Pelodiscus sinensis: one gene and its partners. The protein of the gene in region 1 binds, or shares a complex with, the protein of each later gene. Links are inferred from orthologs where the notes say so. Each region holds a gene or a part of one and is shown in the gene's direction. Other genes may lie near its edges.

What was found.
Region 2: E3 SUMO-protein ligase RanBP2 (region 1) and NUP205 share a complex: the UniProt entries of both Homo sapiens proteins name them as parts of the nuclear pore complex. The link is inferred for Pelodiscus sinensis from reciprocal best matches to the Homo sapiens genes RANBP2 and NUP205.
Region 3: E3 SUMO-protein ligase RanBP2 (region 1) and NUP214 share a complex: the UniProt entries of both Homo sapiens proteins name them as parts of the nuclear pore complex. The link is inferred for Pelodiscus sinensis from reciprocal best matches to the Homo sapiens genes RANBP2 and NUP214.
Region 4: E3 SUMO-protein ligase RanBP2 (region 1) and NUP153 share a complex: the UniProt entries of both Homo sapiens proteins name them as parts of the nuclear pore complex. The link is inferred for Pelodiscus sinensis from reciprocal best matches to the Homo sapiens genes RANBP2 and NUP153.

What each region holds. Positions count from the first base shown.
Region 1 is NC_134711.1:235,355,791-235,363,914, forward strand, and holds the start of E3 SUMO-protein ligase RanBP2, read left to right. Parts: upstream 1-4,853; 5' UTR 4,854-4,920; coding exon 4,921-4,992; intron 4,993-8,124. UniProt on the Homo sapiens protein: E3 SUMO-protein ligase which facilitates SUMO1 and SUMO2 conjugation by UBE2I. Involved in transport factor (Ran-GTP, karyopherin)-mediated protein import via the F-G repeat-containing domain which acts as a docking site for substrates.
Region 2 is NC_134711.1:85,276,370-85,283,998, reverse strand, and holds the start of NUP205 (nuclear pore complex protein Nup205), read left to right. Parts: upstream 1-4,139; 5' UTR 4,140-4,273; coding exon 4,274-4,301; intron 4,302-7,629. UniProt on the Homo sapiens protein: Plays a role in the nuclear pore complex (NPC) assembly and/or maintenance. May anchor NUP62 and other nucleoporins, but not NUP153 and TPR, to the NPC.
Region 3 is NC_134732.1:14,188,076-14,196,497, forward strand, and holds the start of NUP214 (nuclear pore complex protein Nup214), read left to right. Parts: upstream 1-5,000; 5' UTR 5,001-5,114; coding exon 5,115-5,156; intron 5,157-8,314; coding exon 8,315-8,422. UniProt on the Homo sapiens protein: Part of the nuclear pore complex. Has a critical role in nucleocytoplasmic transport.
Region 4 is NC_134712.1:108,543,495-108,551,629, reverse strand, and holds the start of NUP153 (nuclear pore complex protein Nup153), read left to right. Parts: upstream 1-4,649; 5' UTR 4,650-4,764; coding exon 4,765-4,884; intron 4,885-5,012; exon of another isoform or gene 5,013-5,238; coding exon of another isoform or gene 5,239-5,337; intron 5,338-8,135. UniProt on the Homo sapiens protein: Component of the nuclear pore complex (NPC), a complex required for the trafficking across the nuclear envelope. Functions as a scaffolding element in the nuclear phase of the NPC essential for normal nucleocytoplasmic transport of proteins and mRNAs.

The sequences.
Region 1 (8,124 bases):
CTGTAATTCAGTAGCAGACAGGACTATGCAAGTCCACATATTGCAAACTCTGTCCGAAAGCCTCCTGAATAGTAATTGGCTTGTTTTTTTTACAGTTCATACAGAGTTTATATATATTTTATTTGAATTCTTCAAAAGTTATTTATAATTAGAAGGTTTTTTTTTAAAATAAAGTTTATAATTCACATTGAACTATCTGAGTCTCTTGTTCCAACCCATTATATTGCTGCAAAGAGACATTTCAACTTATGGAATCCCATGACATATCAGAAAATCATGCCCAATATGAATTGATTAACAAAGAGTTTTACTGTTTAAATATTGGAAAGACTTGTTAAAATATCAGTCAACTTGAAAATTAAATTTCTATATGAAAATATAGTATGTAGTTTTAAGTAACTTGAGATTACTGCATTTGAAAGAAATACTTTTTTTTTTGTTTTTCCAGTTTACTGTGCATTTGACCGAAGTTCCTATTTTATTGTTTTGCTGATATAGTGGCATTTCCTGTCTTGTAAGCAGACTTATCCATATTGCCTTCTATAGGGATTCTTCCTCTTGCCACAGAAACAGCACATACTTGCAGCTGTTAGACAGGATACTTAACTATATATCCACTGCTTGAACGTAGTATGGAAATTCATAGCATCTTTTGCACAGCTGCCCTTGCTTATACCCACATTGGACATCTATTTCTAGGTCCATAACACTGGGTCTCCATAAACATCTGAAAATGTAGTCTGTATCTTTCATGTTAGGTTTACAATTCAGTGGTTGCACAATATACAGTATTGCATAAAACAAAATTTTCCTCAGTAGTCAGAAGTTCTCTTTTTGTTTTCCTGTACGGTTGTTTCCTTCACTTCAGCCTTTTACTTTCATGTCTCTTTCACATAAATATTAACTTTATGTGCAGTGACTGGTCCTCTGTTTTTCAAAACCCAAATCTCAGCTTAAGCAAATTCATCTGTACTGTTAACTTGTCACGGTTTTAAAAAAAATCAGAAGTCTTCTGAATTTGTTTTACTTCCTGCATGATGGCACCCAATTACAAAGTTGGATACTGCTAACAAATATAGTTGTATGTATCATTAAAAAATAGATTCAGGGATACATCTACATTTATTGATTTGCTATATCATTTATCAGCTTAGAGCTTTTTTTAATATTCAGCAAACATACTGAAAAAGCATCATTTTGCTGCTTATACCACGTCAATATGGTATGCTACACATACTCTTTGAAATCTCTTCCACTAAATATATTTCCTTTATCATTTTTAGGAACAAATTTGTTGAATTTGATATGAAGCCTGTCTGCAAGAAATGCTATGAGAAGTTTCCTCTGGAGTTGAAGAAAAGATTGAAGAAACTAGCTGAAACTTTAGGGAGGAAGTAAAGCCTCCTTCTAATCTCCTGTTCCTGGAAAAAAATTAGAAAATATTACAGATATTACTTGACTTTCATTTTATTTTTCTTTGAGGCTGCAATCTGCGATACACAAGCAAAGAAAATTAGTTTCCTTGATGCATGACTAGCTTCATACTAAAGTACTTTCCTCTTTTCTCTCTCAAAACATGCATCTAAAAACCCTCTCTACATTTTATATAACTTGTAACTAACAAAAGCAAAATATATCTTCAGTTCTGTATTGGATATATACATTTATACATATCTGTTGATCTGTATATTGTACTTGCATATTAAACTGCAAATACAAATTCATTGTAAACTCTTTTACGGCTCTGGTCCTGCAGTTGAATCTGCTTTATAGCCACATATTTCAGTGAGATTCTGTGGAGACCTAAGATCTGCTTGTGCATTTCCTGCAATGACTTCACAAATAAACCTTGCTTTCTGTACACAAAGAGTGCCATTGAAGTTAAGGGTAATACTTGTGCATAGAATTCAGCATGTAATCTTTAAATGATGTAGCATCACTTTTTATGGAACTATTCATTTTTAGATTCAGATCCAAGTAATCATTATGAAGCCTTATTTTAAATGCCTCTGAAGTCAAACTTCTAAGTGCAACCACTGCAAAAGTGTAGTGCCTTTAATAGATAAATATTACATAATTAATTTTTGTATATTAGATTTTAAAGTTGTAATGGAAATATAGAAAATATATTCCTGTTGCAAGAAATATCCATATTCAGAACTACCGGAATTTTGTTATGTTCCATTTAAAATAATCCAGTAATATGAGTGTATTTGTATTTTACTTACATTTTGTGCCTTATTTTTCTGTACCTTTCACAACAGTATTCAAAAAAGGATGCATTAAATATATATACAGTTTTATTTTTATTTTATATTCTTATGCAGAAAATGTATACCAGGTATTATAAAACATAATATGCTTTAACTACTTCACTTCTATAGGATGTATGACGTTTGTTTTCTTTAAATATTGAGAACACTTGAATTTTAAAAAATACATTGTTGTTTCTTGGCTGAATTAATTTTTTAATAGTACCTACAATAATTCACTCTCACGTCATACATCAGTGAGTGTGTGTATAAATGGTCTATGCTAGAAGGTGCTGAGCACCTACAATTGAGCACCTAAAATGTCAGCCTTGAAGGACTGGGTCCAAATTGATGAGAATTCACTATAACATGCTTCTAAGTCTTATATTATTCATTAATAGTCATAAAGAATCTAGGGCTTTTCCCCCTTTCTTTATAAAGGTGCAGTAGTATGGCAAATTAATAAAACATTTTTTTTCATTTAATATAGCAGCCTACATAGATTGTATAGGTTATGCTTTACAAACTACAGTTTCATTTCATATCTTTTAAGAAAATATATCTCTTGGTTTAAAAGCTAAGCTTTCCCACTGTGATCAATAAAGACTACACAATTATAACCTGTTTGACTTGTTCTTAAAGGGATGTTTGGTGGTGAGGGACCCTGTATTTGTTCTCTTTACACAGAATACAGTCCAGTTTCTGTTGTATTATGGAACTGTCAGAAGTGACTCCATAGTTTAGGGTGTATTTCCCTTACTGTACTTTTCGCTCAACACAGATCCTACTTTAATTTAGGCTTTAAATGTGTCGATACAATTCAGTGGATAACTGAATTGTAAAGGAAATGTTCAGAATAAAATACCTGCTAACTTTTCCTAGACAAAAACATTTAAAATAACCCAGTTTTGAAATTTACCTCTGTCACACTCCCTCTACCCCCATACAACACAGACAACCACTCATCACACATTTTCACATTAGTACATAGGTCGTGTTTAATACATTACAATTATGCAGAATAAGTTTATCTTCCTTACTTGTTATAACAAACACTAGAAGAGACCAAGGAACTTCAGAGAGCCCAAATAAAGCTAGTGAATTGCTAGCACGATCCCATGTGAATTTCACTGAGGACAAATGCAAAGCAATGAACATTGAAAAATATGATAAAGCCATACACTTAATGAGTTCTATCAGGAAAAAAGTCTAAGGACACTTGTGTGGCAGCAGTGCTGTGTAACTGTTATATGTACATAACTTACTCTTACTTGCAATTTAGTTCTAGTCAGTTTTTAACCTGCTAAGATCTACCGATCAATTACAATGGGTTGCATGTGGGTTGCTTAGTGACAGCACCAGACCTGTCAGTCACTGGCTGCTGAAGAATGCCCCTTTCCTTTAAGTTCCATCTTGTTTTATTTACTCCTGCCCTCAGGATCCTGTTAACATTTAACTGGTTAAACTGATTAAGCAGGATTTTACATTCCTACCCTGGACATACTCGGTAGTTGAGGAAGAATTAAAAGCACAGTTTTGCTGATCAGGGTGCTATACAGAATGAAACATTGTGACACAGTTTCTGAAGTAGCTTCAATTCATGATAAACACATAATAATGGTTCCAGGTAGTCCATCAGTAGGCTTGTTCTGAGGCTTAATCCTACTAGATATAAATTCTAATATCAGAAGAGTATTAACTGAAGATGATCAGTGTAATACAACACATGCCATCACAGAAATAAAAAATGATTAGGAAAGCTGATCTGCACAAACATGCTTTTGAGACACAAAGTTCATGAGCGCTACCCTGTACTCTTAGGGTGCAGAAGGGGGAGAGGGTGGGAAGTAGGGTGCACAGACAGGCTGGGGGTAGGGTCTCCGGCCAGAAGGGAGGATGCAGGAGGGGACTTGGGGCAGGGTGTCTGGCCAGGAGGGAGGGTAGAGGAGAGGCTGGCAGCAGTGTTTGGGAGCCCTCACCTCTGAGTTCATGTATTGAGTGTAATGGGGGCGAAGGTAGGGCGGTGACAGAAAGGCGCAGCGCTGGGCGGGGAAGAGGGGTGTTATGTGCACGACCCCCGCCCTACAGCCTCCCTGCCCGGGCGTCTGTCCACCTGGTTTTACAAACCTCCCATGGAGCCGCCACGCCCCCCCTGCACAGTCCGACTGTCCTCAATGCTCAACGTTTCCCCGCCCGCACCCGCCTTGCGGCAGCGAGCCCCGTTCCCGCCCCGCGTCCTGCCCTCAGCGGCCACGGGCGCCCCGCGCGGACCTGCCCCGCAACCTGAGGTGCCAGGTTGTCCTTCCGTGCGCGCGCAGCCGGCCCGCCCTCCGCTAGTTGTGATTGGCTCGCGGCCCAGGGGCTGCGACGGAGCAAGGAACGCGCCGGGAAGCCCCGACCCCAGGCGGAAAAAGGGACTGAATCAGACTGCCGAGTTGGGGAGGGCAGCTCAGCCGACATACGTCATTTCCGCTTCCGCAAGGGAGGACGACGCACACGCACCGCCGCGTTACGCACCTTGAGGAGGCGCGCGAACGTACCTAGACTTTCCTCCCCACCCCCCCCCACCAGCCAAGCTCAGTCTCCCGTCTGCCCGGCGCGGCGCGAGCCGGGGTGGCGGGGCTCGAGGCGGCGTTTCGGTTTCGCTTAGTCGGCGCGCGCCGCGGCCATGAGGCGCAGCAAGGCCGAGGTGGAGCGGTACATCGCCTCCGTGCAGGCCGCCGCCCCCTCCCCCAGAGAGGTGAGTGGGGCCGCCCGCTCCCCAGTCTCCGCCCGCCTGCGGGGCCGCGGGCGCGGCGGTTTGTTCGCCCAGAGCGCGGGGGGCGCGTGCTGGTGCCCGTTGGCGAGCGGGGGCTGGTCTCGGCCGGAGCGGCCGCGTGTCCTGGCCCCTTCCCCGCGGGGCCCCGCAGAGCAGCTTCCCGCCCGCTCCGGGGAGGCGAGTCACGGGCCCGCAGGCGTTCAACGTCCCTGCCCCGGCAGCCGGGCTGGCCTCGTTCCGCGTGGGCGGGGCCGGCTGCTAACCCGGGCGGGCCCTGACCTGGCCGGGGGGCGGAGGGATCCGCGGCCAGAGCTGTCCTGCGCCGGAGGTTTGCCTGGGGGCGGGGCTGGAGCCAAGGCTGGGAGGCGCTTGTAGCAGCCGGGGTTCCTGAGTCTTGTACTAACGGGAAGGAACTTGAGCTGTCGTTGGCTGGGGGCGTTTCTTTCAGCCTTCAGAGGTGGGGAACCTTTTTTGGGTCCGGGGCTGCTGACCCACAGGAAAATCAGTCAGGGGCCATGCGCAAGTGAAGGGAAAAAACCCCAATCATCACTGATGTGAAACCCTACCTCCTCCCCCCAGTTGAGAAGGAGAAAGACACTCCCTGCATTCCCCTCCCACACCGTAGCTAGTGGAGCCCAGGCTAGTAGGTTTTATGTGCTGTGGGCCAGCAGGAAGGTTGGGGGGTGGCTGGAGTGTCCGTCTGGGCTCCCTAATGCTGGGGGGGGGGGAGTCCTGATCCTGGGGGCCAAGTCCAGGCAAGCCATCCCTCCTTTACACCTTCCCCCATGGTCATGATGAGTTGAGGAACAGCAGTGGGATAGTGCAGGAAAGTTTGGCCTGATACTTCTGCTAAGCAAAGGATTTAAGTCAACAAAGAAATGGTGCATAATTGATGTGTGTGATAAACATTGGTATTGCTTTTTTTAAAAAGAGCATGATATCTAGTTTTCAGAGTTACTAATTTATGGGATAGTAATTTGTGGACTCATTCTTTTTTTCATGAAACTTCAATCATGTTTTCATAAAAAGTGGCTGAGTTACTTCCTTGCTTGTTGATGGGTATGCATGGCAAGTACCACAACTGTTTACATGGAGTTAGCTAAGAAGGTATCCTGGAATGCAGTTCAGCAATGAAAATTATTACTAGTTTTATGTTACCAACTATTTCTCTGCAAATCTCAGAAGACACTCTCTAGATTGTCAGCTGTCCAATCAACAAATCTACCAAATTTAACAGTTACACCTATGAGGTTTTTTTTGTTACCATGAACAAAACTTTTTAAAATGTTTTATCCTGTTCACTGTGTGGAAGACCCACACAAACAGGGGATGCTGATTTTTACATGGGTAATGCATCTAACTGTACAGTCAAGTTCACAAAATAAGTAATGGAAAATAGTTACATAAAATTCTTTTTGTCCTGTATTGTAAAATTAAGAAGGGACAACAATTAACTCTCCTTTTGAAATTGTAAAGAAATGTGACTCACCAGACCTTTACAAATTTCCAGACACATTTGTTCAATAATATAATATTTATGAAAGATTAAAAACTAAATATGTCTTATTAAAGGATAAAAAATGCATGCTTTTGTTCAAAAATATCTTTGTGCTGTAACACTGGGAGGCTAAACTTCCTCTTTTCTGGATGATTTGAGAAAGCTGAGGAGTTACATGGATTTCCTTCCTAGATCTTCGTTCGCGAAGCCAAACCATGATGATGGGTGATGACTTGTTAATTCAGTGGTTCTCCAGCTTTCCTCAGGTTGTTCGTTGGTGGCTAGCAGAGTTCTGGCTGATAATGTACCTTTTTTTTTTTTTTTTTTTTCTTGTTACCAGTTCTTAAATTGCATTGAAGAGACTCAACATATTTTTAGTTGTCTGTTGTCGTGCACTCTCATGGGCAATTGCTGTAGCTGACACGGGTATTTTCTAGTTGTGAACATAGGAAGTGATACATAATACAATTGTTTTATGAAGAGGCGGTGTTAAAATGTAAATATTCCAGAGCTCATGTCAGTATTTCAGTTACTTGGACTTCTACTAGAAATATGATAGGATCTTTGATTGGTTTTGTTAGCATAGTTAAATATGTTCTTGGAAGGAAAAGTACTTGGCCCTTTACAGTTGGTGCCCTTGCTAGAGGCTTGTCAGTAAGCTGATGGCTGGACCAAATTTGCATGTAAAAGTCCAAATCTTCATAATATCTAAAACATCTATTTCTATGTCTGACTTCCTTGATAGAGCAGTTACTATAGTTTCCTCACCATGTAGATACTTTATCATTTGAGCACATACGTTGTTTGGTCTATGCTCCAAGGAGCTTCGTCAAACAAAGACACAGTTAATCCAAGGACAAACTGAAGTCCCAAATTGCAAAAAGGGTTAAGATTTTGGATTAAATATCCTTTTAAACAAAGATTGACATCTTTTGTAGATTTTTTTTTTTTTTTTTCCACTGTGACTGTGGCCCACCATTTGATTTTTGGCTGTTATGTTCTGAACCATTCTCCTATGGTGTCTTAAAGATAAAAAGGGTTGTATGGTTACTTTGTTTTTGCTAGAGCCAAGTAAAATTAAGTTCATAGCAAAATATACAAATTGAAACTTAGCTGTGTCAATAAACATTTGGTTTATTTTATCAGTCTTTGCTGGGGATGTGAAGAACTAGTGGACAAGCAAATACTTATCGGGTAATCAACAGGCTAGTTGATTAATCCCTCTCCCCCCACTGCCTCTATCAGAAAAAGGCAGCAAGGGGGAGGAATAAAAAGGGGGTACTTCAAAGTGATAGCTGGGGTTTCCCCAGGCTGCACACTGCATTTCAAAGCAGCAGTACTCTGTGTAGCCTGGGATCAGCTGGGGACTCCCCTGCTGACCCTGGGGCTTCAGGTGGCACTGCCACTTTAAAACGCTGTATGAAGCCTGACACTGCGCTCACCACGGTGTTTCAAAATGGCAGCGCCGCGTGGAGCCCAAGGTTAGCAGGGTAGTCCCCAGCTGACCCCGGGCTCCAAGGGGCGCTGCTGCTTTGAAATGCTGGGAGGAGCATGATGCCTAGGGCTGTTACACTTCAAAGGCGGAGATGCCCTGTTGACTAGTTGATGCAAAATGC
Region 2 (7,629 bases), about 150 Mb from region 1:
CTGCCGTTTAACTGCCTATTTAATTGTGAAGAGCTCATTTGAGGTTTGGATGCTCCTCAGGTTTTTGCGCAAAAACAGCTGTTTTTGTGCAAAAAACCTTGTAGTGTAGATGTAGCTTATCAGTATAGTTAAATAAGTACAACTTTCCTAGTGTAGACTGTGCCAGGATAGATGAAGTGGTACAATTTCCCTAATTTGAAGACTACAGAGATTATGCCAATATGCCTTATTTCCATACGTTAAAGGGAATAAGCTATACTGCTGTTAGGCATCACTGTACCAATTATATATTTAGCATGTGCATACTGGGCTACACATTAGTGTTGTCGGTGCCTACTGTGCTGGGATTCATTGAGCTGATGCTCCTGAAATTCAACTTGCTAGTTGCTTCATTAGTTTTCCTGACTACTGTAAGGTTCTGGCAGGTGTCGCAAGAAGAACACTTGAGTTGTACTGATATAACTATTTGGGGTAAAAATCACACCCACACACCAAGTTGAACTAGTATAGACAAGGCCAAACTATATGCTGTTCCCACTAGATTCATTCATCTAAAGAGCCCCTCTCGGACCCATTTTTCATTGCATCATGTTGTTGTTATCTAAGCTATTGACAGAGCAAGTTGTTGAATTATTTGGAAGTTTTAAATGGTAGATGTGTGGGAGTTACAGAGGATCTTCTCTTCCAATGGGATTTTTTAAAAATGCATACAATCTGGAAACATTTTAATGTCAAAAGAAACATGACAACCCTCCCTTCTGCCAAAATAAATCTTTCTCATTTTTGCTTTCTCCTTTATCTTTTTACTTTCAATGTCCACCCCTTCCCTCACACACTTTTTCCTACCTGAAATAAGACAGTTTGAATCTCCTGTCACTTCTGTCATTTCCTGACCTTTGAGTGGGCTAGATTCATAACTGACAAATGGCCAGGACCAGAATGAGAAAGAGTTTAGTGGTATAAAATGTCTTTCACTTAAATAAGCAAATTAGTTTCATGTGAGCAATAGCCAAAAGAAAATATATCCTTTTCTCAAATATCTACCCTTCAAACTCTGTGAGAAGAAATCTTTCTGGCAGGATGGGTTTTCTCTTTCTTTCTTCCTTTCTTTTCCTTTGTTTCCATCTCTCCCTTTTTTGGTTGTATTAATCTCCAATGTAATTCCCTTTCTTCTGGCTTTTGTCTTTTTTCCTCCTTTGTCTCTCATTAATTCATCCTTCCTCTCAAGTGTCTCTGCTTTCTCTGAATTGCCTTTTTTCTTTCCCCACCTATCCAATTGTTTTTGTCCGCTCTACTTCTTCAGTATTTGCTGTCTGTTCTATATGGATATAGTTTGAAGGACATGATTTTGCAGGAAGAGTAACTTAATTTTAATAAAGTTCAAGTGTGAAAATGTTAAGTACTGGCCACTGACATGAATGTGTCTCTCGAAGGCATCTCTTATCTCTATGGGAATATACTGAAGAAAAGTTGCCATCAGTATAGTGACTGGGACAGGAAAGCCTTCCAAGAGATATTATTTTGAAACAGAAGGGCAGTAAATAGACCAAAGGGTGTGTCTGAAACTCTGGTGCGCTGGCCAGATACAATTCACCAGGGTTAGTCCCTGGCAAGCACCAGATGCTTCATTTGGCTGCTGTTTGTGGGAGGTGGTGCAGGCCAGGCCACCACTTTTTGTAGCTGTCATTTGTTGGAGACAGTAAACCGTGGCCAACAGGAGCTGTGAGTGGTCATCCCTGTGAATGCTCAGGTAAACAAAGTATCTGGCAGACCGCTAGGGGCTAGCCCAGATGAACTGCGTCTGGTCTGTGGGCTCCAGATTTCCCACCCCTGAAGTAGACAGTCTTCAGATGTATCACACTTGTTAAATATTAGTACACCTTCCTTAGTTCCAGATATATGTCTAACTGTTTTCTGTGCCTTTTCTTTATTTCTGACAGTTCTTTCCTCAACTTTCTTTTGATAATCTATTTTGCCACAATTTAGAAGTTCTTGGCTCCATGTTGAAGTGCACCGGCGGAGTGTCCACACAACCTTTTTGCACAAAAAGGTTTATTCCTCGTGGGGAGAGGAATAATTCTTGAGCAAAAAACCCTCTCTTATGACGATCTACTGTAAACTTTCTTGTGCAAGAACAGGCTTGTAGTGTGGAGGCTCCGCAAATTTTTCCACAAGAATGGGTGTTCTTGTGCAAGAAGCCTGCACTGTAGACATAGCCTGAGATGGGTAGGTTCCCTGGTGTTCAGGATTAGATGCTTTATTCCATAATCAAAGACCACAAGAAATAGGATTTCAAATCCAATTAACTTGCTTGTAGAATTGGTAAAAAACTTTAGATGTTTTAAAATTAAAATTTGGGTTTGTTTTTTGGTAAATGATTTTTTTTCCAGAAGAAAGGTCCCTTTTCATCACATTTAAAAAAATATTTTCCATTAAAATTTTTCCTGATTTTTAATGAACAGTTGCAGAAATTGAAGATATTCAGTTTTTGAAAACCTAAAATGTGATAATTGATTTATAGTTTTTAGTTGAAAAACTAAGAAATTTTCTACTGTCTCTGCATTAATTTCACTATTAAGGAATCACACTTTCCTTATAGCACACATTTGAGGAATATTTTTTTCACAGTGATGGCTATAAAGAAAGGGATATAATGGAAGACACTTTGTTCATCAGAATCTGACAAAGGAAGGCAGGAAAAATGGAGAGGGATAAAACATATATATTATGTTAATTATGGGAGATAGGAGTTATGAAACAGAATCTGATTAGAGAGACAAGATAGGTGAGGTAATATCTTTTTTTGGACCTACTTCAGCCCTGAAGAAGAGCTCCACTAGGAAGCTTGTCTTTCTCACTAACAGAAATTGGTCCAAAAATAGGTATTAGCTCATTCACTTTGTATCTGTAATATCCTGGGAACTACACAGTTACAACAGTACTGCATGCATAGAATCTGATTGCCTCATAAAAAAGTCCATTTGTGGTCACATGTACATGTGCCTAGTTTTATTAGTGAGTAGGCCCACTGAAAAATATTTTAATAAAATTAAAACACAGCAATACAAAGACCATTAATACAAATATATATAATATGAAGGAACCAAGCACAGTAACATTTCCAAATGACTTTTACTATTAAACCTATAATTATTATAACTCACACTCATACCACAATATAAATTAAATTGCATGATGTCATTATTTGTTTTTATTACAATTGTGTCATTTTTGTAAACATGTTTTCTTTGGTTTCCAGTCGCTAAACTAGTAGTCTGGAGACTTGAGGTCAGTTTCTCTGTAGGATATTGATCTATAATATTGATTGATGCAACATTGTGTAAATCAGCCTGCCCTGTCTGTTTTCTCACTTGAAAAGTGTTTTGAGATAATTACATGAAATGTGCAATCTGTTATTTTTACACTGCACTCCAGGTGTTTATTAAAAACAATTTTCTGAAAAAGTTATAAAGGGTCCAAAATGGTTTAAAGTAGGAAAGGCTGGTCGCTGTGACTACTTAAATAGATTATATTAATATAATCTTTGGAAATCTAGTTTTTGAAACTAAGTATATATTTTGTAAACAGGATAGCAAAATAACATTATTTCCCATTCTAGGGTGGGTTGAGCAGATTTTGTCCCCTGGAGTGGTCCTGGTGCTTGTGAATTTTTTCTTGGTTGTGCAAACATGATAATGGGATGTGGTTTTGTGAGCAGAATAAAGCTTCTGCATATCCATCCATCTGGTTTCACTCTGGGTAAAGGGTATGGGAGCAGAGCTGGACTACCTGGGAACTTTAAAAGCTTCAGCGGTGGAAGCCAAGTTTATCTGTAACAGGAAAAACTAAAACCAAAAAACCAGCAAATAGACTAGTAGCACAGTAAAGACTAACCATCTACATATTTTGTTAGTTTTTAAGATGCTACTGTATCTGTTGTTTTTTTTCCTGGAAACTTTAGTTTAGTAGTTTGCGCCACTTCCCATAATCCATAAATGGACTACAATTCCCGGCATGCATTGCAGCCCACGAAGGCCCCCTCCCACAATTTTCCACAGGCAGCCCTGCCTGTTTCAAAGGGACCCAATACCAGGAGTGGGGTGTATAATTGATTAGTGTATTAGGGACCATCCCACTATGGATTTTAGGGGAAGCAGCGTGCCCTGTAGGCGGCGAGGAGAGCGGTATTTCTAGGCAGGCAGCGCTTCAAGCGCCTCCAACTCTTTCTGGGCTTCTCTGAGGCGGCGGCGGCGCCTGTTAGTTGCTTTCCAAGATGGCGGCGCTGTTGGCGGTAAATTCAGGTAAAAGGCTCCCGAGCGCGAGGCCGGTAACAGGGGGCGGCGCCGCGCCGGCTCGTGCGGCCCCTGTCCCCGCCCCGCCCCGCCCCGCCCGAGGGGAACGGCCGCGGGGGGAGAAGTGCAGCAGCAAGAGGAGGCGGCGGCGCGAGATCTGTGGCCCCCTCGGCTCCGGGCCCGCCCGTGTGTGCCTGGCTGGCAGAGACCGTGCGCCAGCCCCGCCCCGGGAAGCCTCCCACAAGAGCCGGGGTGCGGGGTCCTTTGCCTTTTAGTTTCTGAGCCCGGGGGGGGGGGGTCGAGGTCTAGGGCCGGGCCCCCACTGCTCTCTGCAGCCCCCGTGCCTGGCAACGCGTCTTCGGTCGAGCCAGGAACCCCCCCCCCCCCCCTCGGGTCTGGCATAATCGCAGGAGCAGGTGCTCCGAGGAGAAACACCCCAGGGGCCCCGCGTCGCCAGATCCCCTCCTGGCTGCTAGTGCTGCTGACAAGGGATGTGGAAGCGCAAACGTGTGTGCGATTAATGTGAATGGTTACACATAAGTGCCGCCCACGGCGCTGCTGCGTCTGTATCAAAGGGAGCAGTGCAGGGGGCGGGTGGGAGCCGATACGTGGGGAGCTACCTCCCCCCCCGCCCACGTGTAACTGCTGAAATTTTCATCAGTTTCACATTTACATGAATACACGCACCTTGTGTTCCCCATCTCTCATTTCTTGTCTCCCTCATGGATTGTCAAATGCTTGGTGCAGGGACTCTTGCAGAGTATCTGGTGCAATTGGGTCCTGGACAAAGACTAGATTTCCTAGTCACTACGGAAATATAAATGATAAAATTGTGAGACTTGGCAACCCAAGTAACGTGAGGGAGATAAAGTTTTAGGGGGCAGTTCTCACTGCCCTTTGGTGCCATTTGGGGTGTTCATGTCCTGCATGATGGGTGCAGGGACTTTCTCTTCAGCCCCTACATTATCAAAATCTGAACCCTAATCTTTTAGGAACAAAAGCTTCAGGCAGTAGCCGAGTTAGTCTGTACAGGATAAACTTAAAAAACAACAAATAGTCTGATAGCACTTTAAAAACTAACAAAACATGTAGGCTATGTCTACACTCACGGCTTTTTGTGTGGGAAATATGCAAATGAGGTTAAGCGTGGAATATTGCTGAGCCTCATTTGCATACCTAATAAGCTGCCATTTTAGCAGAAGATGCTCTTGCACCAGAAGGAGCTGACTACACTGCCCCTTCTTGCGCAAGAAAAACCCTCTTGTGCAATGCCGTTATTCCTGAAAAAAATCAGTTTAGCGGCGTTGCACAAACAGGTTTTTCTTGTGCAAGAAGGGGCAGTGTAGGCAGCTCCTTCTGGTGCAAGAGCCTCTTCTGCAAAAATGGCATCTCTTTAGGTATGCAAACGAGGCTCGGCGATATTCCACGCTTAGCCTTGTTTGCATATTTCTCATGCAAGAAGCCGTGAGTGTAGATAGCCGTAGACGGTATCATGAGCTTTTGTGGGCACAGCCCATTTCTTTAAGTTTATCCTTTTAGAAACAGTACTACTTTTAAATTGAAAATAGCTGAACTAGATTTAGCCCCTGTCCTACAAACATGTGATGCCACTAGTAATACTCTCTCACGTAAAATGAACCTTGTGCATGTTTTAAAGTTTGAGACTGTAGCATGTGGCTTATTCTTCATAAGGAAAAATCTTTGTTGTGGCTTGAAATAAACTACTAAAATGCATTGGAGAGTATGGGAGAGGATGATGGGATTGCAGCAGGGTCTAGAGGCACTCTTGGTAATGGAGTGCTGCATGCTTGTGAACATACACGCAAAACACTATCCTCAATCCAGCTAGGGGGAAGGAACAACATGCTGTGATTCCCACCAGGGTACTGTTTCTGGATCCTGCTAAGGAACTCCATGCTTAGCAAATAAATGGTGGAAATGCAGCCTACTATTTCTTGTCTCATCTTCTAGATGTTGTAGAGTGGAAAGCTGTTCACTCTCCAAAGGTTTTTTGTCCCCCCTCCCCCTTTTTTGAGCTTCCCTTTTTCCTTTCCCCAGTTTAATTTTTTATCTTCACAAATTTTAGTGGCTTCCTTCAGCTATCATGGCATGAAATAGATGCCTTGTCCACAATACTGGAGGACTGATGCTCCAGTGATCAATATTCTGTGGTTCGATTTAGCGGGTCTGTCAACCACAGTATTCCTTGCAGTGGTGAGGAGTAAGGGAAGTCGACGGGGGAGGTGCAGCAGGGGTAGGTCCCAGACCCAGCACAAGCTGGGGACTGAGCCAGGCTTGCTTAGTCCCAGCTCATGCTGGGTCTAGCAGCCCCTGTCCACAGGGGTCCCGGTGGGGAGCTGGGACCCCCCGCAAGCAGAGGCTGCTTTGTGGCAACCTCCCCTGCCCTCCCTCCACGCTGCTGCTTCTAATAACATATGCTTATTGAGTTGTTGAGTAGTGCCTCGACTAGTTGATTAGCTTATTAAACACAATTTAACATCCCTAATACAGAGGCAGCAAAGGGGGGCGGGGAAGCAAGCAGCCAAGTAGTTAACTCAAATACCCGATAAGCCTACACTTATCGGGTAGTCAACTACTTGCTTATATCCCTATTATCCGTGCCTTATCTCTTATCATGAGTTCACAATGAAAGAGTTAAACTTTTCTGCAATGAAGACACAGTTTTAGTTAAACCAGTGCAACTTATATACACATACATGTGCTCATAAATCAGTTTACATGATGCCTAGATTAATTTAGTTTAAGTTCAACAAGCGATTCACCCTAGCCAGCCAGCGAAAGTAGAGTGGAGAAATAGCAGAATAAAACTGACAATTCTGATGTTTCAATGTTTCTGAACAGTATTGGAAGCAGCAGCAAATTGAATAGAATCATATCTATTTCATGCCATGATAGCTGAAGGAAGCCACTAAAATTTGTGAAGATAAAAAATTAAACTGGGGAAAGGAAAAAGGGAAGCTCAAAAAAGAGTGGGGGGGGGGAGACAAAAAACCTTTGGAGAGTGAACAGCTTTCCACTCTACAACATCTAGAAGATGAGACAAGAAAAGAGCAGCAGCGTGGAGGGAGGGCAGGGGAGGTTGCCACAAAGCAGCCTCTGCTTGCAGGGGGTCCCAGCTCCCCACCGGGACCCCTGTGGACAGGGGCTGCTAGACCCAGCATGAGCTGGGACTAAGCAAGCCTGGCTCAGTCCCCAGCTTGTGCTGGGTCTGGGACCTACCCCTGCTGCACCTCCCCCGTCGACTTCCCTTACTCCTCACCACTGCAAGGAATACTGTGGTTGACAGACCCGCTAAATCGAACCACAGAATATTGAT
Region 3 (8,422 bases), on another chromosome or scaffold:
GTGCAAATCCATGAGAGACTGTGAGCTCCTGGCCCTACTAAAATCAATGGGAATTTTGTTGTTGACTTTCTAATGAGGCCTGGATTTCCCCCCTCTGACTTGCAGTTCTAAGACACTGACATCCACCTTTATTTTGCCTGCCCAAGGTGTAAGATTAAGCCCCAAGTGCATGTCACAAGCAGTCTAAAAATGGGCAAGAATTGCCCTCACGATCACAATCGCAGGCCTCCAACCGGAAGATGATAAAGAACTTCCACCTGTGACTGGTGCAAGACAGACAGCAAAGTCCCCTGGAGGGTCCCTCTTGGATCAATAAGTCCTTGCCACTGTGGTCTCCTTTTTAGAAGCTAGAGAAACTATTCTGTTCTGTCATCTGTGGTAGAAGCTGTCAATTCATTGTCTGCTTATATTTATATAGTTAAAATGAAAACTACATAATATATTGGGTTTGTTTTCCTTGTAATGTGAATAAGTGGTTGGCTTCTGAAGCTTGCAGACTCCCTCTTCTCCAGTGACCAATCTGGTCAATTTCCCTAGACTAAATCCTGTTTTAACGGCCAGTTCCAAAAGCTGTTATCTTGCACCTGAAATTCTGGGGATGGTGGGAGAATGAGCCCAGCTATTTTGCTTTCAATTTTCACAGAAAAGGCCTGGGATATGCTGAATCTGTAGGTGTAGGAAACGGAACTCCAGTCTGAGTCCTTAAGCTGGACCAGAATGAATTCTGGATGAGTCTGTTTGTATTAATGCCCTCAAAATCTCCCAAATTAGGCCTTGTTCAACAAACATATTTCTTATATGCTTGAATTTACTCATATGAGGAGTCATTTGACTTCAGTGGGACTATTCCGTGACAAAATGGAACACATGAAAGGGTTGGGGGGTTTTTTTTGCCTTTTTTTTTTTAATGGGAACCAGGGATCTTGTCTCTCCCTTTTGGGGGTAGGGAAAGACTCCCCAGGATCCCAGGACTGAGACTTAGCTGGACTGTGCTTTGGACACTGCTGTGTACTCTGTATTTACAACTCTTGGAACCCAGTTGTTTGCCTCTGGGATTTAATTGCTTATCATGTTTCTTCCCTCTCCCTCTGGGTTTTTTGTTTGTCCTTGGCAGCTTTTAACTTTGTGGTTTTTAAATCATGGTTTAAATTAAAAAAAAAAACAGATACCCAATTTATTGTTTGAACTCTAACTAGTCTTATTGTGCCTGCCAAAGGCTGCCCTTTTTAAGTGTCTTGCTGTTCTTGTTTGTATGAGAATTTAGAATTGTAATGGAGAGAGAGATTGTGGATGAGAGCAGCACAGCTCTATTTGTACAGACTGAAAATAAATCTTCTGACATTTATGTGAGGCATCAGTGTATTTAATACTGCTACTCAATATCCCTGTCTAAACTCAAGTTGTTCCATGTGATCTAAAACCTTAGGCCTAGTCTATACTACAGCAGGAGGTTGAATTAAGATACGCAACTCCAGCTATGTTAATTATGTAGCTGGAGTTGACATATTTTAAAGTGCGTTTCTGCATCCACACAGGTGGAGCTCCTGTCAGCTTCCCTTACTCCTTGCAGTTGCAAGGAGTACAGGTGCTGGCTGGAGCTGTCCTCAATTTATGGATCTATACTAGACCTGCTAAATTGAACACCAGAAAATCAACCTCTGGAGCATCGATCCACCAGTAAGTATAGATGTGGCCTTAGTTTTCAAATCATTTTAGTTAAAGGGGTGCAAATCCCTGAATAGGCACTTAAATTACATCAGGATAAGATAGCTGTAAACCATTTCAGCCAAAGGCTTCAATGTTTGAATCAAACAGGGCAAAGGAAGGGGTTTTTAAAATCAAGCATTCACTGGTTCCTGGCTGCTCGCTTACTTCAGGGTCACTGTTTGACATGCACATGTGTCTGGCAGAAGCAGCAAGACTCTTCTTCTTCATCTTCACTTTAACAATGGATTGGCCAAACCATCAGTGAGTTTCCAAAAAGAATTATACAAGTGGGACTGCGCTTCATCATTCCAGTGGATGACAGGTAGATTTCCTGTCACTCAAATCAAGTGGTAAACCCCTTTTGCCCCAGCATAGTCAGAAATGTGGATGAGGCCTTGCTAGCAGCCTCCCTAAAGAATGTATACACCTCACTGGGGCCAGTGCAAGGTCAGAATGTATCGTTCACTGTGTGACACATCCTTGCATACTTCAGATAATATAAATTGCATTAAACTAGCCTGTGGGAACTGAGAGATTGTGCTGGGGTGGGGGCAGTGCAGCACACACAGCCTCCCCCCCGCCTGCTCCCCATAAAGTGCAGAGATCCACATGGAACAGCTAGCCACTCTCGATGGTCCGGGGCTGCTGGCAGGCTGGGGAGCCTGCCTGAGAGTGCTGCTGGCCAGGAGCTGGTTAGGTAAGCGCCTCCCACCCAGAGCCTGTCTGTGGTACCCCCCCTTTCTCGCACCCCAACTCCCTCCCAGAGCCTGCACCCCCTCTCACACTATTCCTCCAGGTCAGAATCCTTTCCTGCACTTATACCCCAAGTCACAACCTTCTCCTTCACCCAAACTCCCTCTGAGACCCAGCACTAAAATGATTAGGGGGCTGGAGCATATGATCTATGAGGAGAACCTGAGGGAGTTGGGTCTGTTTAGTCTGCAGAAGAGAAGAGTGAGGGGGGATTTGACAGCAGCCTTCAACTTCCTGAATGGAGGTTCCAAAGAGGATGGAGAGAGGCTGTTCTCAGTAGTGACAGATGGCAGAACAAGGAACAATGGTCTCAAATTACAAGTGGGGGGAGATCTAGGTTGGATATTAGGAAAAACTATTTCACTAGGAGAGTGGTGAAGCACTGGAATGGGTTACCTAGGGAAGTAGTGGAGTCTCCATCCCTAGAGGTGTTTAAGTCTCGGCTTGACAAAGCCCTGGCTCAGTTGATCTAGTTGGGATTGGTCCTGCCTAGAGCAGGGGGCTGGACTTGATGACCTCCTGAGGTCTCTTTCAGCTCTATGGTTCTATGATTCTATGACCCTCTTCTGTACCCCAGTCTCTTACACTGAGTTCCCTTCTGCACCCAACCTCTGTCCAAGACCCCACATCTCCACAGAAAAATGAAGCACTTGACCACTTACCAATATCTTGGATTGCGCCCCCCCCCCGCATAAAAAATAATTGCCTACTCGTGCTCTAGAATATCCATTTGAGTGATATTACAAATACAAGTATTTTTATCTTTTCCAGGGATCTAATGGCAGGTGCTCTCTCTGGGTATGTCTACACTACCCTGCTAGTTCGAATTAGCGGGGTAATGTAGGCATACCGCAATTGCAAATGAAGCCCGGGATTTGAATTTCCTGGGCTTCATTTGCATAAGCGGGGCGCCGCCATTTTTAAATCCCCGCTCATTCGAACCCCGTGCCGCGCGGCTACACGCGGCACGAACTAGGTAGTTCGAACTAGGCTTCCTAGTTTGAACTACCGTTACTCCTCGTGGCACGGGGTTCGAACGAGCGGGCATTTAAAAATGGCAGCGCCCCGCTTATGCAAATGAAGCCCGGGAAATTCAAATCCCGGGCTTCATTTGCAATTGCGGTATGCCTACATTACCCTGCTAGTTCGAACTAGCGGGGTAGTGTAGACATACCCTCATAGACTAGCTGTCTCATGGGATTGCTTGAGTAATGCTGCTGTTTGCCCTTCATTTGTTGGTGTGTGCATGCCTGTCCAGTCTGACATACACAATGGCAGTGGCTATTTAGCTTTGTTTAAAGGGTCTAATAATCCCACTATAGAGTAATAGTAATTGCTAATGCCATCAAAGGGTATTAGTTACATGCTGCAGTGGAGGAAATGAAATTAAGCAGTTCAATTGTAAACATGAAGCCACATTAACTGGCTTCTCTATAACCAGAAACTGATATTTTAAAATGAGATTTATAGTACTTTCATGTTTCACTTGGAGACCATTCATACAAGGAATGTGGAATTCCTTTCTTTGAAATGCAGAAAGTGGATCTAGCCCCACAATGCAGAGCCCTACACTGTCATGGTAATTATGTTAGGATAGACTACTCTGGCAGCAGCATTGACTGCTGTTTATGTATGCTGTGTGCATACTGATCATTGCATATGGTAAACCAAGACTTCAAACTCATGAGTGTCTTAAAAATCATGAAATTCTTAAAACATAAATCTGTGGGGTTTCTGCCCTTCCAATTTCTGAGCCTTTAGGCTACACTTAGGTCAGATACACCTCACTTCCATCCCCAAAACGAGGAGGGTTGGACATTTGCTTGTTATTCTTTAAAAGAACCTGAAAGTCTCATGTAATAATGACTCCAGGAGCTGGGGCTTTAACTGAAACACCAAGTAATGTGAGAGTTGGCAGCACTGGAATAACTAGCTTGCCCCAAGGTTGATGTTGGTGATTTACTGCCGTGTAGCAAATATAACACGACCAATTGGGTAACAGGAACAGTAGCCTTCCAGACTGGCTGGATCCCTGGTAGGATGACTAGAGGGGACTCCTGCTATTAGGAGCATTGTCATCTATAGGCAACTGTATCCTGCCTCTGAAAATACATGGTAAAACAAAACAAAAAAAGTCATGTAGCACTTTAAAGACTAACAAAATAGTTTATTAGGTGATGAGCTTTCGTGGGGTGGACCCACTTCAGATCCTATTCTGAAAGTGAACAGGCATGACCATTTTATAACAGAGGGAAAGAAGGTAAAAAAAAATTACAAACTGACAATTCAGCTACATCCATGTCCTAGTGCTGACTGTGATCCAAGTTTGAATTGCTTATTGATGTTGCTCCTAGAAGCCCCAATGATGGGGCAGCCCCCCCCCCCCCCCCGTCTATTAGGTGCTATACAAACTAGTCACTGCCCTGAAGAGCTACCACGCCCCATCCTCCTTTGGCCACGCCCCCTCGTCAAAGCTCCCGCCCCCTGGCATTAGGCCCCGCCCTACAGTCTTACCGTAGTGTCTTCCTCGGTCCTCCACGAGCCAGCGGCGCTGCCATAGAGCGCTGCGGCTAGAGTAGACTTGATGGCCGCCGGAAGCGGAAACGCTCCTCAGAGCCCTGCGCAGGCGGTTGGCGACGGGCTGAGCCGGAGCTATGGGGGACGATATGGATGTGGTCCCCGAGCGGGAGATGAAGGTATGGGCGGGGGGGTTGAGGGGACACGGGGGGAGTACCCTGCCTTGGGGGCACTAGGCGTTGTATGAGGGAGTTTCGGGGGTCAGCGAGCTGGGTGGGGGGGGCGGTGTCCCGGGGGACGGGGCTGTGGGCCGGGAGCTGGGATAGCGGGATTGAGGGGGGAGGGGCTGTGGGCCGGGGGGGCGGGGCTGGGATAGCGGGATTGAGGGGGAGGGGGCTGTGGGCCGGGAGCTGGGATAGCGGGATTGAGGGGGAAGGGGCCGGGGGGATGGAGCTGGGATAGCGGGATTGGGGGGGAAGGGGCTGTGGGCCGGGGGTCGGGGGAACTGAGCTGGGATAACGGGATTGGGGGGGAAGGGGCTGTGGGCCGGGAGCTGGGATAGCGGGATTGGGGGGGAAGGGGCTGTGGGCCGGGGGGACAGAGCTGGGATAGAAGGTCTGGTCATCCTAGTGAGTGCTCATATCACTACAAAAAATCAGGCTGTTAGGTGTGGAATGTTAGGTGCCACAGTTACTGGGGCCCTACCAAATTCATGGCCATGAAAAACATGTCAGACCTTGAAATCTGGTGTGTTGTGTGTTTTTAGAATGTACTACACAGATTTCACAGGGGAGACCAGCATTTTTCAAAAGGGGGTCTCGACACAAAAGGGAGTCTGAATTGGGGAGTGAGACTGTAATCACAAAAGGAATTTTAAGTTTTCTGCATAGTAAAGATGTTACCATTAAATTCTTATTGCAAGCAGTCAGCGTTTATATGTAACTTAAAGCTTTTGTGATTTATAATCACACTTTTTTTCCCTTATGTTTCTGGTGATGCAAAACTCTATGCAAACAACAAGGGGGTGTGATCACATGCAAACTATTGTCAAATACACAAAGTAAACGTTCGAGAAGGGGGAAGAAGGAGGGGAATCTTTTTGTACTGCAGTGGTCACCAAACAAGTAGATCTTGGAGCCTTTGACAGGTGATCCTGACTGGTTTGGCCAGGAAGCTATCACGCTCTGGCACTTCAATTGCCCCTCCACCCACTATCATGCTGCTCATGCCCTCTGCCTTGTAGCTGCCCCCTGGGAGTCGCCTGCTTGCTGTGCAGGATGTGGGAGGGAGGGGGGGGGGATGCTGATGTCAGGGTGTTCCTTCTCCCACCCACTTCTGTATCCTATCTCTACACAGAGAAGAGATGGAGTGAGCTTGTCAATGCAAATCTCTCACTCTCTCACACTGGTAGAAATGTAGCCGTGTTAGTCTGGTGTAGCTGAAACAAAATACAGGTCTATGTAGCACTTTAAAGACTAACAAGATGGTTTATTAGATGATGAGCTTTCATGGGCCAGACCCACTTCCTCAGATCAAATAATGGAAGAAAATAGTCACAACCATATATACCAAAGGATACAATTTAAAAAAAAAGGATACAATTTAAAAAAAACACTGTGTGTGTCTGTCACTCACAAACACAAACTGTCCTTCACTCTCTCCCCACTCAACACATATGTGGGTTGTTTTTACTTCTTTTACTGCATGCAAAGTATGTTGTTTTTGGTTTTTGACAGGTTTGTGTATTTCATACTTTTCATTTCTTTCTTATGCTTAAATTTAATTATTTGAGTAGTGAGTTCTAAAATGCCTAACCTGTCATGGCTGGAGTAATTATCCCTATGGTAACTGCTGCTCCTGGGAGTGACTGGCATGTCCCTGCAGTGCATGAGAAAGGTAGAGCAGGGGATCTTCACGTTCTGTCCTTGCCTGCAGACACCAATCCTGCAGCTCCCATTGATCAGTACAGACAGTCCCTGGGTTACGTACAAGATAGGGACTGTAGGTTTGTTCTTAAGTTGAATTTGTATGTAAGTCGGAACTGGTACATATCGTAGGGGAAACTCTAGCCAAACATTTCTCCAGAACTCAGTTTTATTCTCCCACACCTCACTTCCCTCAGTCCTTTATTCTCAAGCTGAGGTGTCTGCTGAGAAAAGCCGCTCCGCGTCTCCATGGTCTGCTGGGGGGGCGCTAGCTTCGCGTCTCCCTGGTCTGCTGGGGGGAAGCAGCTAGGGCGGGGTTGCCTCACCCCGTTTGTAAGTAGGGATCCGATGTAAGTCAGATCCATGTAACCCGGGGACTGCCTGTAATGGGGAACTGGGGCCAGTAGAAGCTATGGGCTCAGTGCCTATAGATGAAGGACAGCACATGGAGCCATTGCTGTACATGCCAGCTGCTTTCAGGAGCGGTGTAGGTCCAGGACAGGAGCAGGTAGGAAGTTTTAAGTATATTACTGTAATAGCAGGTAAAATATATTCAGATACATATACCACTTTTAAGTTAACATTGTCCCTTATGCGATCACTGTAATGACTGTACTAGTCATTATGCACAGTCTTTTTTTCTTTTTTTTTTAAGTGGAAAATGTTTTGCTACTTTCTAGGGAAGTCTACATGTTCTCCAAATGCTGTCTATTAATGATAAGTATATTATGGATTATCAGACTTTTGAAAAAAAAATACCTGTCAGGAATTAAAACGGTGACTTCCTAGTTTATTTTTGGAAACAGTGAAAAGAACAGTGTCCATTTTAGGCCACCTGATAGAGAAATACTTTTAAAAAGATGCTTGAAAATAACTTGGTGCTCTGGCTATAAAGTAGATAAAGAAGAAATAAATGTCTTAGTCTTTCTTCAGTTAGACGTCCCAGAGAGAGATTTCAAAAAGCACCTGTTTCAGATTGTGGTGATAGTGTTTCATGAGATTAATAACAGTCTTTCCTATTCTTCATTATTTACTTCACCAATATTAAAGTGCTAAGTGAGGTCCATGGCCCACCTATTAATAGATAATTTATGAAAATATCCTTATCTCTCTCCTACATATTTAAAAAATCTGGAACTGATTATAACAAATTATTTTTCGTTGAGGCAATTTTAAAGTAATTATTTTTGTTGATGTGGTCTGCAAACTCTTCAAAATCATTTTCAGGAGCTTGTGGTTTGTCAGCCACTTGGGAAGTAACAATTGAGAGATTGTGTGTATGTGGTAGTGGGCAAGTGCTTTTTAATGAATTCAGTTTCTCTGGGATGTAAGCGAAAATCAGTTTTAACTCCCTTCGCCACTCCACATATAGACACCTACAATTGCTTTTTAACTCTGTTGTTTTATGACAGGATTTTCAATTCAGAGCGTTGAAGAAGATCCGAATATTTGATGCTCCTGAAGAACTCCCTAAAGAGCGTTCCAGTCTACTTGCCATCTCAAACAAATATGGGCTAGTC
Region 4 (8,135 bases), on another chromosome or scaffold:
CACTCACATTTTTAAGTGTAGTTTTATTATAACCGTTGAGTTTCAAAAGTTAAACATTTTGTTGTGCAGATTGCTAGAAATTTCTATCATTAAAATTGTTTACATCAAAACAAAGGAAACATGCACATTGTTTTATTTACTGTGAAATTTCTATGTATGTATAAACAAATTTCCTCAAGATGTGTAAATAGTGGAATGCAGTGCCTATTGCAGCTGCACAGGAGGGCTTCAGGGAAAAAAGTTTGGGATTCCCTAAGGTAGTCAACCTGACCTATGGTTTGAAGAATATTTTGCCCTTCTGAGGCATGAGTAAGCCAGCTGGAAGACTTAGATTTACTACAATACTCCGGCCTTTGATACCTAGGATACCTCCACATTTCATCACAGCCAGAGAAGGGAACATCTTGGCCCCACAGGGACCACTGGTTCTATTATTCCCACTCCCTCATTGCAGGCCCTGCTAGAACTGGGGAAGAAGTCAGTCCTGCTTCTTCCCTGGATTAGGAGGCCTTGATTCTGGGGGCGGGGGGGAAGGGGGCTTAGTTGATTTGCTGTTTACTTGGGCCTTATCTTTACTTACCAAGAGGTTGACTGCAGATATTGATCGCCTGGGAGTCAATTTAGGGCAGGGGTGGGGAACCTTGGGTCCTTCTGATGATCCATTTCATTAGGGTTAATTGCTGGCAGCCTGCAAGGTGGTTAGTTTACTGAGTGTCTGCAGGCATAGAGCCCTGCAGCAATCAGTTGATGTGATTCAATGTTCCTGGCCAATGGGAGGTGTGGGAAGTGGTGGCCTGGCTTGCAGGTGTAGTAAGGACATGCTAAATCGACCACTGATCATGCTCCTGTTGACTCCAATACTCCACTGGGTCATGAGAAGTAAGGGAAGTTGAGAGAGTTTTTCCTGTTGACTCTCCTCAGTGGGGATGCTGTGGTAAGTCAAATTAAAGTACGTTGACTCCAGCAATGCTGTTCACAGAGATGGAATTGCATACTTTAGTTTGACTTTGCCCACTAGTGTAGACCTGGCCTTAGGCTCTACAGGTTTTGCCCTGGGGCAGTGGCTACTGCTGCTCTTCCTTTTCAATTTGGTGAGTTACTAACTGGCTGGAAAACTGGCTGGAAAACTGTCCTGCACTACTTGTGTTGGAAAGAGGAGCTGGGGTTGCTGTGGGGGAGTTCCCAGATGGCAGGAGGATGAGACTAGGGCTATTTTGGATTGGGACTTCTGAAGAATGTGCCTCTTTCCCCTCCCTCCATCTTGCCCCCCATGTTTAGCACTTAGCATCAGGGCAGGGAAGTGCCACTTCAAGGGCCTATGTATCTATTGTCCAGGAGCCCCTTGAAGCTACTTAGGGTCTCCTGCCCTGGAGCTGAGTGCACTGTGGGAAAGGAGAACATTGGGACTAGGTAGTGGACAGAACCAGGTGGAGGGAGAAGAAAGGCAGTGAATAGTTTCTTTGAAGGTGTGGCTTCTGCCCATGGCACCATGAGCTTCATGAAAGTACTGTCCATTGGGCCATTTGCCCCTTTCTCCCATTGTTTTGCAGAAGGCTCCTGTGATATGAAGGAGTGGCCCTAATCACCCTTTGTTTTCTTCTGATCCTTCCAGTAAGAGCAGTGCTAGGCATGCTAAGCACTGTATAAACACATTTGTCAGACAATCTTTGCCCCCCAAAATTATTTAATTTTATGATTATTAACTTATACTAGCAGTCGCTAAGGTCTTGGGTCAGCAAAAGTGCTATAACATAGTGGGCTACGTCTAGACTGGCATGATTTTCTGCAAATGCTTTTAACGGAAAAGTTTTCCATTAAAAGCATTTGCGGAAAAGAGCGTCTAGATTGGCATGGACCCTTTTCCGCAAAAGCACTTTTTGCGGAAAAGCGTTCATGCCACTCTAGATGCGTTTTTGCGCAAAAAAGCCCCAATCGCTATTTTCACGATGGGGGTTTTTTGTGCAAAACAAATTTGAGCTGTCTACATTGGCCCTTTTGCGCAAAAGGACTTTTGCCCGAACAGGAGCAGCATAGTATTTCCGCAAGAAGCACTGATTTCTTACATGAGATGGTCAGTGTTCTTGCGGAAATTCAAGTGGCCAGTGTAGACAGCTGGCAAGCCAATGTTGTTTCTCCAACAATCTATGCAGCTATCCCTCAAAAATACTGAGTCTTCATAGTGGATGCAAGATTTTGTCTCCTGCAGATTGCTGCTCCCTACTGTTGAGTTTTCATTCCTGGGTTGAAACAGTCCCAGTTCTCTTGTAGGTTTGTAAGCAACTATGCAAAGAATTTAACTAGTAGCTTCTGTCACTTTCCCTTTAGGTTCTTGGATTTGGCTTTACCCTGTAGCCTGCATGCTGAGACTGGCCTGATCATGGTCAAACTGTAATTTACTCATACAAAAAAGCAAAATGCTTTTGCAACCTCCCTCCCCAAGATGGAGGAAGGAAAAACAGGATCTCTGGATCTAGATGTGGAGCACATACACCTGTCAGTGTGTCCCACCATCCTAGCTGGGGAAAGCACAGATGATCAGTTTCTCCTTGGAGACTAGTGTAGAAATGTTAGTAAGTTTTTCTCCTTGTTCAGAAGTCTGTTTGTGCAAATAGTAAATGAGCCCCTATAAGTGTTTGTGTGTGAGTGGATTTTGGAAGTGTAAAGACTTGGGGGTAGGGTGGAGCTGGGTGGATGGGGGTTGAAGACAGAGATTGTGAATAATTTAGAAAGAAGAAAGGGCAATTGGGAAAGAGGAACTGATGCAGGGTAGGAGAAGGGAGAGGACACTGCTCTGCAAAAGGGATGGGGAGGTGCATAAGTCTCTGAATGTTGATATCCAAGTTAGAAAATGTTGATGTAGAGAGTTTTTATTTCAACTTGATTTTATACCTGTGCACAACATACTTAAGCTGTGATGAGAACTCCTGTAGGGTTTCCACTCTTTCTGTGGAACCTGCTAACAGACAAGGAACAACTCTTTTCCACTGTCCCACACAGCTCTCTCTTGCTTGGCTTCTTGTCCCATTATCTTCACATCATTCCCAGCTTGTTCTAGCCTAACCTTTATTATAGGCAATGCCAGTAAATTATTTTAGTAACATTCTTTCTGTCTGGATTTTTCCATGTCTTCCACACCTGATTTAATTTTTTTTCCTATTGCTCTCTTGATTTTCTTTCAGCAGTTTGGAAGGGCTGCTTTTTATTGACTCCTGCCGTGTGTCCATTGTTTCTCTGATGTCTGAAGGCTGTGACCATGAAGGACTTTGCCCATTTTGTTTTAATAGGGCATCTCATGGTCTTTCAGCCTCATCTAAACAGTGTTCTGAGCCAAAGCTGAGGATAGCCTAGTTGGAATTCTGGCTCTCTTGTACCTCCTGAGATGAGCCTTAGGGATAATTTGGGGCTTAGTTTTGGGATCCAACTACATTATTCACCACTTCAATTATCTTTGTCAATGTTGTAGAGAATCCCTCCCAAAGTTAATTCAGTTTTAGGGCTCCTACCAAGACTGTGGAATCTATTAGGTCCTCCCAAAAATGTTTTCCCATATGAACTGTTTGTTAAAGTTTTTTAATTTTCAAATGCTTTCAGATTTTCCCAAGGAAATGTGGGCATTTTCAGTTTGGGGCTGTGGAATATCTCTATAGTTCAAGTGATACAAATTTCTTTGTTCCTTCCCAGAAACTCTGCAGAAGATGTTTCCCGGGGTCTTCAGTTTATCATAATATGAAGTGAATTGGGATATATTTTGTACTTTCATTGACTGCTATTTTATAGGCTGTCAAAAGAATATATGCTTGGTTATGGCCAATTTGATACTTTTCTAAAAAGATAGTTTGCTTAATCCTTTTTGGCCTATTCCACCTTCTCCCATAAGATGTGAGTCTTATGAATCCCAGAATTTCATAAAACTGTTGTAATACTTTTGATTCTAAATTTCCCCCTTCATCTGTTTGCTGATTACCTGGAACTACAAATCTGGTGAAGAATTTGGTCACTAAAACCTCCATAGCTAGCCCAGCCTTTTTGTTTGTTACTTATTTAGATTCAGGCTACTGTGTAAAGTATAGCAATCCATCTCCCATATTGGAGAGAGAAACAAATGAAATTAATGACTGTCAGAAATGATTGATTCTTTCACAAGTCAATGAAGGCAATTTGTAGGGCAATATCTTCTCTATAAAGCTAGCTGGAATGATATTTTTATATTTTACACCCTATTTCACATATTTGTAAGTATAATGGACCAGAGCAATCGTGGATATAAATCAGAATCACTTCATTGGCTTGTTTTAAGCACCTCTTTGACACTTTTTGGTTTGTTTTTATTACAATTTATATAACTTGCGTGACTACATTTTTACTACACCTTACAGGTCTGGCTTCACCTAGAAATAGTGCTGACTCTTGTGTGTCACTTGTAAAGGACTTATTTCCGTTAGTACATCATGTGCCTTTCCGTGGTCCTTGCTCTGCCCGGCACCACCCATAACTCCGCCCCTCCCTTTGCACTGTGGCGGGTTTTATAACACCAACCAGAATCTAGCCCCCAAATAATTGGTTTATGAGCCAAGGCTGTTAGGGTCTAGTAGCAGACGTGACTCCTTTCCCACGTGTTCGGAAGCCTACCACAGAGAGGTCGGGCGCTCAATAAATCATGACCAAGCCTTGAAAATCGCAAGATCTAAAGGACGATACGGGGGGGCTGTCCTGCTTATTTGCCTTCAGGATTTTCTCTGCAACCTGTGAGGGGGTTTTTGCTCAATGCCCGCTGCGATCAGCTTCAGGAAAACCACGCAGAGCCTGAGCCGGGCTCGGTCTCCAACTACCTCCTCCTCCCTGCCCCGCGCCAGCCTCTGCGCTCCCCGAAACTACACTTCCCATGTGCGTTCGAGGCAGGGAACGCTCCTGGGGAAAGTCGCGTCAGGATGACGCATCCCGAAGTGCGCGAGTTAGTGACGCGACGCGCCCGGGCGGGCGCTGTGTGGTTGGTCGGACGGGGAGGGGGGAGGGGTGCACGGACTCGGCCGCGGCGCGGGCGGGACGGAGCCGGCAGCAGCGAGCGCGTGAGGCCCCGGAGCCCGCGAGACAGGCCTCGCGGCGCGCGGCGGGGGCATCGCCATAGAGACAGTGACAGCACAGAGAGGAAGAGGGCGCGGGCGGCGCGGCCGGGCCGCGGGGGGAAAGAGGAGCGAGCGGGGGCCGGGCCCGCTCTGCGCCGGGGGGCCGGATCCCAGCATGGCCTCGGGCGGGGGCGGCGGCGGCGGCGGCGGGGGGAAGATCCGGACCCGGCGGTACCACCTGGGCGCCTCGAAGCCCTACCCGAGAAACAAGCAGGTGAGAGGATGGGCCGGGCCGCGCCGCTCTGCCAGGCCCAGGCGGGGGCTTTGACTCACAGCGGCCCGCGGGGTCTGGGAGCCGCCGGGCGGGGTGAAGCATCCCCGGGCTCTGCAGGCCCCACGTGGTGTGGGGCTGGGAGTGGGCAGCGGTGGGGCGAGTGGAGGATCGGGCCGGCGCGGGGCGCTGCGTGGCGGGAGGGCGCTGGGGGCGTGTGAGGAGCCGCGGCTCGGGGTGGAGGGACGAGTGAGGCTGGGGGGGGGGGGGTTCCTGCGAGGCGGGATGTGCGTGTGTGTGGGAGGGGGCTTTTCCCCGGGGCTGGGGGTGTGTGTCCATGTGCGGGGGTTTCCTCTCGGGCAGCGGGGAGGAGTTTGAGGGATTTCCCTTGGGAGCGCGCGCGGGGTGTGTGCGTGTGTGGATGTTTTAGGGATTTCCTGCCTTTTTTTTTGGTGAAGCTGGGAGGGGTCACGGGAGGGAAGAGGAAACGTGTTTAGCAGTTGGTGCCATGTGTGAATTCACCCCGTCTCAATTTGCCTCAGACAGTTTTGTCGGTGTGGGTGGGGGGGAAATAAAAGCACTGGAAGGAAAAATCTGGAGTTCGTTTCCTGTCACACAGACGAGCGGGTGTAGGCTGCAGACTTTCCCAAGATGTAAACTTTTTGATGCCCACCCTGTTATACTTCTTAGCCTTTGGGGTGATATAGCTACGCTCTTTTTCTATACTACCCAATTTACTACAACTTACTGGTTGCTTTCTGGCTCAGATTGCCAAAAGGTATTTATACATCAGCAGGAATAATTTGGGTTTACTGTGGGATAAACTTTATACACAATCAGGGCAAACTACTAGATGACATTAGCTTAAATAGGTATTTAGTTATAATGCAGTGAATTTTGATATTTGAATGTCTTCAAAATCAAACTAGCCAATTCTTTCATCTACAAATTTCAAAATATCTTACAAGCCACTTTGTAGGGGCAGTATGTGGTTATTTGTCCTTCTTACAAGCCACTTTGTAGGGGTAGTGTGTGGTTATTTGTCCTTGTGATCATTTCAGTAGGCTACAAGTTCATAAGCTTCAACCCCTCACTATAAATTTTTCTAGTACTGCCATTCCATATATCTCTGTTGTTAGCACATTGTGGGTGGTAATAATATTAAAAACTATTTTAATTGGTTTTCCAAGTCTTGCTGAAATGGTGGCTAAAGAACACAACTTGTTTATATATTACAGCACTTTGTATTAGTGGGAATTTTTCGGCAAACAAAAATCCAGAAACTAGGTGGGATTGGTTGAGGACAGGCAAAATAGGTCTTTCATTATTATTGTGTTTGCTCCTAGGTGTTTTAAGGTACTTGTATATTTATCTATTGTACAGATCTTATCTGTGTAGGTATATATGTATTTATACATGAATGCAAAAACTAGGTTAATACATTATTTAACAAGTAATCTGAAAAGCTAGGAAGTTCAGTTATGTTCTGTTTTCATATACAGTGAAGAGCTATATTACATAAATTTCATAAGCTGCTATTTCTTAAAATAATAGAAAGGAATTATTATTTTAAAAAAATTAAGTATACATGTACAATTGCATAACACTGTTATGCACCTGTCCCTGAAGCTCTAGGACAGGGGTTCTCAATCTTTTCGTTTCTGAGGCCTCCCCCCAAATATGCTGTATAAACTCTACAGCCTACCTATGTCACAACAATTGTGTGGGTTCTATTTCATATAAAAGCTAGGGCTGTTATTTGGGGGGTAGCAACCAGGGCAGTTGCCCAGAGCCTCATGTGATGGGGCCTGCGAAGCTAAGCTGTTCAAGTTTCATGTTAATGTTTGGGTGGTGGGGCTTGGGTGGTTGGGTTTTAGCTTTTTGTCCCTGGACCCAGTGAGTTTAATGATTGCCCTGCTTGGCGGAGCCCTTCAAACCTGCTTCTGTCCCTTCAAGGAGCTTTGGACCTCTGGTTGAGGACTACTGCTTTAGTAATTTAATGACATCTAAACAGGAAAATGAATTTCTTCATGTCTAAGTATAGTATTGAATAGGGATGTTCAATGGTTAAGTGATAAGAATGAGGCTTAATGGTATGCTTATTAGTTAACCAGCCTTTGCCAATTAATTTCAGCGATAGCCGCGTCAGACTGGAACATCCTTGGCCCTGGAGGGGGCTAGTAGGCAAGGTGGTGGGATTCCACCGTCATAGTGGGACCTCACAGTGGGGTCAGGAGTTGGGACTGAGGATAAAACCATTAACTGGTTAAGTGTTATCTTGTAATCTGTTAACTGTTTTAACTTCCTTAGTATTGAAGCATTTATGTAAAAGCTAGCAAGTACTGAAATAGCAAGTGATGTATATGCTAATCACAGCTAATTGTCTAATTTCCTCGGTGCTTGATTTCACACCTATTTTTGTCCTCACAGTTGGTGACAAGTAGGGATATAATGTTAAAAGGAGGATAACTGGGTTATTGCTAAAAACCTCAGTGGTTAAACGCACCCACAGTGGCAGTCAGCTCCCCAGGAGCCAGTGTACTCCAGTAGCTGGCTTTTAAACTGGTTTCTGGCTGCTGTCCTGCCGCTTCTGGTGCTCACTGGCTCCTGTCTGCTACCCTGTACTGCTGCCTTTGATACAGAGGCAGCAGTATGGGGCGACAGCCGGCCCCTCAGGTGTAGAACGGGTGCCTGAGTGTAACTGAATGTTAACCAGTAAGCTCAGGCTTATCAGTAAGTTGTTTACATGGTTACATGTTTACATCCTTAGTGACCACAAAAAGTTGTATTAGTGGAGATCT